Linked DNA regions of Drosophila melanogaster. The main gene of each other region encodes a partner of the protein of the gene in region 2 in a complex. Each region holds a gene or a part of one and is shown on either strand. Other genes may lie near its edges. The genes, in order: dgt2 and wac.

The links.
Region 1: wac (region 2) and dgt2 share a complex: the UniProt entries of both Drosophila melanogaster proteins name them as parts of the augmin complex.

Annotation. Positions count from the first base shown.
Region 1 is NT_033779.5:11,988,125-11,991,671, reverse strand, and holds dgt2 (dim gamma-tubulin 2), read right to left. Parts: upstream 1,737-3,547; 5' UTR 1,649-1,736; coding exon 1,417-1,648; intron 1,360-1,416; coding exon 896-1,359; 3' UTR 700-895; downstream 1-699. Other genes in the region: escl, read right to left, coding at 1-97, 153-342, 401-699; zuc (zucchini), read left to right, coding at 1,848-2,609; CG34163 (uncharacterized protein), read right to left, coding at 3,037-3,288, 3,343-3,354. UniProt on the Drosophila melanogaster protein: As part of the augmin complex, plays a role in centrosome-independent generation of spindle microtubules.
Region 2 is NT_037436.4:256,060-259,597, forward strand, and holds wac (wee augmin), read left to right. Parts: upstream 1-2,116; 5' UTR 2,117-2,332; coding exon 2,333-2,336; intron 2,337-2,346; exon of another isoform or gene 2,347-2,391; coding exon 2,392-2,704; intron 2,705-2,763; coding exon 2,764-2,938; 3' UTR 2,939-3,038; downstream 3,039-3,538. Other genes in the region: DIP2 (DISCO interacting protein 2), read right to left, coding at 155-534, 590-997, 1,071-1,142, 1,494-1,566; Tudor-SN (tudor staphylococcal nuclease), read right to left, coding at 3,444-3,538. UniProt on the Drosophila melanogaster protein: As part of the augmin complex, plays a role in centrosome-independent generation of spindle microtubules.

The DNA.
Region 1 (3,547 bases), on a different chromosome or scaffold from region 2:
ATATGCGAATGACGCCGCGGTAACCAGCCGCGGCAAGCACAGGATCGCCGGTCACAGAGTCGTAGGACCAAGCGCATGTGTAGAAACTTTCATCGGTCTAACGAGGGCGTAACGATGATGTATGTAAGTAATAGCATATGATGAGTACTTACATCTGGGTCTGCGTAGACTTGCAGCAGTCGAATGCCTTCGCAGGACTCCTGTCCGGTGCTCCTCTCGCACTCATAAATGGAAACCCGATCCTTGCCAACGGTGGCGAACACCTGCGGCTGGCCTCTGTCCAGGAACGGATTGAACTGCACTCCGAAGATCTGATGGTTGTGGTCCTCGCGGACATGGGAGCTGCAATGCATCCGGGATATAAACATTATGACTTATGTTCTGCCTGGAAAAATCACACCTATATTTGTACAAGGGCTGAACCATTTTGGGTGCCTTGATCCGCCGACACAGGCGGTTCAATTTTCGTGTATTTGGCGATTTGCTTCTGGTGGTGGTCGTAGTAGTGCTGAACAAACTGGCGGTGTCCTCCCGATCCACGGAATTAACTTCGTGCTCATCATCCGGCTCCACAACATTGCAGACACTCGAGGAATTATTGCTCAGCACTGCCTCCGCTGGAGAGTGGTCAGTGGATTCGTCCTCTGCCGGTGGCTCTTCGCTCGGAGGAGATATTTCACTGGGATTCGTTTCGGTCATATCTGTTTTATTCCGGCAAACTTAAAAGCTTCTTTTGTTTACAAATTGTTTATCCCTAGAGTGACCGTCTGCAAATACTGCAGTGCAAAACAGTGTTGCCATTCTAGAGCGAAAAGACCTAAACGAACAACCCTGTTTAAATCACAATTATAATGTATTTAAAAATCTAATTTACATAATACTAGTTTGCTTAAATCTACTTCTTGGCGGCGAGCAGCTCGTCCAGGTGCGCCTCCACCTCCTTATGTGCCTTGACGCTATGTTCGGTGCGAGAGGCGGCCTCGTGGACGAAAAATCCGCGCAGTAGTTCTGCTTTTGTTTGAACAAGTTGCGCCTGCGCCTGTTGCAATTTTAGTTCGTTTGCCAACTGCGGCCCCAATTTCAATTCGGCGGTCTCCTTGAGAAGCGTGCACTTACGAGTGAGAAGCGCAACCAATTTCTCCAGACCGCTGCGATGCTCCTCCTCCAGGCGCAGAATCTCCTTTTGGTCGCAGCTTAAGTCCGCCTCCTGGCCAAAGGCGTCCGGGAACTCCTCGCGTATCCTGTCGCACAATTCGGCAATGGGTTGCAGAGTTGTGCGTAATTGAGCGGACAATTTGGTACGCACCGTCTTGCGATCCGTGTAATTCAAGGGCGGAAAACTGCTGCCGCTCGGTAGACCTGTTAGATTTCCAATGGTTATTCACTGCTTTTGGAATAAACTTGTAACGCGCCTACCAAGCACCTGCTCCTGACCAGCTCCCTCCATCTCGCCGAGTCGCGCATAACTTCCAATGGAAACCAATTTGAGGGCTCTTTTGATTTCATCACTCGGATTTGGGCCCACATCCAGGCGTCTTAGCTCGTCCAGCACTAGCTTCAGCTTGAGCACCTTCTTCAGCTCCGCATCGCGAGCCAGCCGCAAATCTTCCGAGTGTTCGGGCAAGAGCGTGGCGGATGGATCATCCATTTAGGTGGTAAAATGCTTAAATTGACCCGAAATTGATTGTTTGATTCGAATGGGCAAGCGCATGGCTGCGATACGGCAACGCTACTGAGCAACAGTGTGACCGGTAGCTACTAACGATAATATATTTTACTTATATTTTATAATGGTCACCCCAAGATTATTATTTAAAGCGCGCTAGAGAAACGAGCTAAATTCAAAAATGTTGATTACCCAAATAATTATGAAACAAATTCGAGACTATCCCATTGTGTCCACAATAAGCATTGCCGTCAGCACTGTCCTGGCCTCAGAGGTGATTTGGAAGCTGGTGCAGTGCTCGCGCAGCAAGCGAGAGAAGGCAAGCCGCGTGCACGAAGTGATCATCTTCAATGAACTGGGCGAGATCTGTGCGGCGGTGCATATGCGCAACAGCAGCATGGGATCCCAGAAACCACAAGTGTCGCCCTGCTGCAACACGCATTGTTCGCTGCGGAATGTGGCCAAGATCGTAGAGCAGATCGATCGGGCTGTATACTCCATTGACCTGGCCATATACACCTTCACCTCGCTTTTTTTGGCGGATTCAATAAAGCGGGCCCTGCAGCGCGGCGTGATTATCCGGATCATCAGCGACGGGGAGATGGTCTACTCCAAAGGTTCTCAGATCAGTATGCTGGCACAATTGGGAGTTCCAGTTCGCGTCCCCATTACCACGAACTTGATGCACAACAAATTCTGCATAATCGACGGCTTCGAGCGCGTCGAGGAGATTCGTCTGCTGAGGAAGCTCAAGTTTATGCGTCCGTGCTATAGCATCGTGATCAGCGGCTCCGTAAACTGGACGGCTCTTGGACTGGGAGGCAATTGGGAGAACTGCATTATCACAGCTGACGACAAACTCACAGCCACGTTTCAGGCGGAATTCCAACGAATGTGGCGGGCTTTTGCGAAGACCGAGGGGAGCCAAATCCAGCTCAAGTAGAAATCAATTGATTTAATGTATGACTACCAAACAGTTCCTCAGTATGCCAAATAATTATAGTTCTTATTTTCTAAGTGCCTTCAATTAAACTAAAACTTTTTAAGGCAGCTTGATCTTCACACACAAAGGAGTGCCAAATTAATTAAGCAAAACAAAAGTAATCAAAATGTATACCTAACAGTATAATCCGTATGAAATCTTTATCACTTCGATTGAGTTGACTAATTTTCAACGTGCATTTAGTTATGATCAGCTTTGACTATATATATAACTTTCTACTTTATTCATCATGTTATTGAAAGCTTTTAAGTAAATAAAAGTTAATTACAAAAAAGATTACATGTATGTATGTACAAAACATTCCGAAATATAACTGCTACAGATTTCTTTACTCTTATATAGTTTCTAAACCAAACCAACTTATCAACTATTTGTCCTGTTGCTTCAGCTTATCAGCGCGGCGCATAAATGACTCCTTTAGGCCGTTGAGTCGTTCGATTTCTGCCAGAATCTCATAATATTCCAGATAGGATACACCCGATTTCAGTAATATTTCTTGTTTTAAAGTGAGCACGCGGGCGACTTCCTTTTGCTTGCGATGCAAAGCGTTCAGTTTGAGCGAAACGGACGACTCCTTGGGCGCCTTGGACTTCTTGTCGTTCTTTGATTTCTTGGACTTCTACGGGGATCAAAATGAAATAAGTTTTAGGTCGCAAATAATTTGTTTACGTACTTTAATTTCCATTGTTTATGTGGAGATCTCCGCGTGTTAAGTTGTTATTAAGTTCGTGGTGAATGGCAAAACAAAAAATAAGAAGAAGAGTAGGCGGTGTAAGTTTAGTCATTCAAAAAGGTAATTTTAACAAAACGAATTCTAAATAAAAAGGTCCTTTTAACAAATAAAAAGTTCCGAAGTACTACATTGCGTGATAATTTAA
Region 2 (3,538 bases):
AGTTAAAGAGTATAATTCTTTTAATACATATATTTCGGTCTTAGTCTGTTCACATCTGAACAGTATATATTTACTGCAATAAATATTCACAATCAACATATTGTCGAAGCTAGCTTTTTTTCCTCTTTAAATGTATTATTATTATATTACTCACAAGTGGGGGTAAGTTTTGCGGTGGTCGCCTTTCTGGAGCGCTATTCGGCGCCGTATACTTTTGATTTGTAATTTGGTTCTGTTTCACGTCTGTCCTCGCATGCTGCTGTGAACCCATCGATGATTCACGAATTGGAGGTTTAATTATCGGTTCTGGTGGCAGTATGCTATTGCTTATATGATCCCGTGGATAATTGTACTCCTTGTCGGGGGAAATTGTCTCCTCGGGTATGGATTCGTCATCCGTCGATGAGTCCAGCTCATCATTGCACCCAGGGCTTCGGTTTAATACAGATGTGCGCTTCGATGGCATTGGAAGGCTGGGTTTTGGCCGTCCCTTAAGAGCTGCAAGGGCCTGTTGCACAGCCTCTTGTCGTACTTCTAGGGGTCAGATGATCAGAGATAAAATGTTGTTGCTGTAACTTGTTCTACTAACCAGAATGATAACGTTTCTCATTGTGCGTTACTTTGCGCTGTGTGCGTCGTTGACGATGCTGACTATTATTAGTTGACTGTTGGTTCTGAAAAGCACTTGGTTCGCGAGTGTTCTGATACCCGGGATCGCCGACTGCTCCACCCTGCGGTCGCATATTTTCGTAGCCAGGAGCCCCAGCATTTCCGCTCTGTGGTGCCGATGACAAGCTCATGGCGGCTTGCTGATGGAAGTCAATTTTTTTGGAATGTCTTTGCTGCGAGGAGGACAGGGAGGGCACTTCAGTCACATAACTGTAGCCCTCGCTGGACACAATGACGCCGTCGTTATTGATGTTTCCGTGGTTGGTGCTGTTGTTGGCATTTTTAACGTTGTAGTATGGCGGTGGCGGCGTACTTTTCACTTTATCGCCTGTTCACAACAAAAGGATCAAGAACTTTCTGGTGACGACCAAACGACCAAATATCAATGTTTTCGAACATACCTTCTGGCTTCTTTAGGAACGGCTGCAACAGCTTCGCCCTTTTCTTTTCGTAGCCTTTCTGCGTAATGTCACCTAGAAAAGCAGATGGAATTGTTTTCTTAACGATTAATATGTCCGCTGGGCCTCGTCGTTTTTTGAAAAGCGTGGAGTAGCGACTGAATCATGTATTCATGCTGAAAGCCACACAACACAACACACACACTTTTCTTTTAATTGGTCGGTCCCCGACTATATGTGGGCAGCTTTCAGCGAAAGAAAAGCCGAGAACAGCACTTGTAATCCCATTTGGGGGCGACAAGTATCCAATGATTTGAATCAGACCAGACTACGTCTGCCACAGTTTTCACGCGATTTTCTACAACTCAGTCGCCGCACTTTAACAACAATATTTTATTTTTGTGTGTATTATTCAAATAGGTATACCTTCCGACAGCTCTAAGTCCAGTTCGGCGAGCTTCTCGCGGACGTAGCCAGGCAGCGAGGCAGTGTGCTCCATGGCAGATGAAAAGTGTGGCTTTAGGGTTTTGTTCTATCCTCTTCCTTGGAGGATTCGTCTAAACTTTGGCTGGTCGCAGTACACAAACACACCCAGACACCGCTACTTTCCCACTTCGTTGTCAAAAATCGATCGATTTGCCATTTATTCTATTTCACATTTTGCCGACGCAAATAAATACATCCGTACTTGCGCAGCACCAGTACTTTGGGTTAGTTAGAAAACACGATATTACGAATGTCTTTTACGAATTTGCACAATGAAAGTAAACAAAGAAAAATAGCAGTACAAATCGATTTTATGAACTAGCGAAAAATTGATAACTATTTCTTCATACTCTTGGGACAACGGCCTTTTTCAATTTTCGAGATGCGGTCACACTGCCCAAGTAATCGAACCACGAATTTAAGTGTTATTTTTAATGATATTAGGCATAGAACCATTACAATTAAAAAGCTCTATTATTTATTACTTTAATCGCTTGTCTCTTAAAATTCGATTCAACAAAAGCAATTGGTGGCATTTTGCTAGGTAGCCCTGAAATACTGTAGAGACTATCGATATCTGCACCTAAGGCGCCTATTATCACATTCGGATTACGAAGACAAAGACATGCGAAACCTGGATACGATTAGTGGCGAAGAAAAGCAAAGTCCTGCCAACTTAGTCTAAATTGTTTCTAAGCCGGCTGCCTATACGCCTGCGTTTTGAGCAAAGCGGTAGTATCTTTTTCGGAACCATCGATAGCTTGTCATCTCCAGTAAAAATGCGTGAGTTTATTTAAAAAAAACGCTAGGCATACAACTAATTATTCTTATGATGCAGAGAACTTGAAGATCCAAGAGGAAGTCAATTCATTGATGCGTCTAGGCCAGCACTTCGATGACCAGTTAAAGCTGGCTAGCGTCGAGTTGGGCGATTTCTCGGACGATGACCTGGCGCTCCTTGACAAATGCGCCCAATATTATTCACTTTTGCACATTCACGACATCAATCTGAACTACTTGCGCGACTTCTATTGTGCCAAGAAGAGGGAATGCATAGAAAACCGGCAGACCACAGTGCAGCAACGCGTAGAGCTGCAGCGCATCCTCTCGTCCATCGAGGAGGCGACTAGGGACGTAGTTATGTTGGAGAGGTATTGGTGAACAAATCCCTTTAATAGTTGAATCCCTGACCAAAACCATTCTTCTGCAGATTTAATGCTGCTGCGGAAGAGCGGCTCATCCCGGATATCGTCGTAATGCAGCGAAACGCCCAACAGCTTGCAACAAAACAGGCCTTACTGGACCGGCAAAAAACCCTTAAGATCCCAAAGGATTTTAGCATTGAAAGTGTCATCGAGAAGGTAGATTCGCTGGAGCAGCGCTAAAGAAGTGAATTGCTTTCGTTTTTAAAAAATTATTTAATTGTATTTACTCAGTAATGCAAAACACTTTACAAAAACATAAAATCTGCAAATTTTAAAGATGAATGTTGAGGTTTACAACTTGGAACACTACACAATCAGAGGGTGCACTTATTTTGGTTATTGTACGCATTTTAAAAACGTTCCAATTGTTGCTAGGTTGTGTCAAATATTTATTTAAAGTATCATGATAGGAAAACTAGAAGACCAAATAATAATTTGCCAGCTGCTTAAAGCATACAAAAAGTGTACCGTGTTCTTCCATGCCATTGCTCATATGTATGTATTTGTGTATTTCCAATGTGGTATATGTATCATATATATTGGTGTATAGATAGAATTAGTAATTTCATATTCTTTAAGTTCTTGCTTGTTGTTATGTATATAAAGGGCGGGTATGTGGCAGACAATCTTTTCGGCTAGCAACGCGCTCCACGCCACAGGCCTACTCCACGTTTCCGGGCATCTTTTAGCGGAACTCGGGCGCATCATCTTGCGTTATGTCACCGTACTTCCAGATGGCCAGATGCGCGACCCGAGCTGCTTCCTGCGCGGCTTTGTACT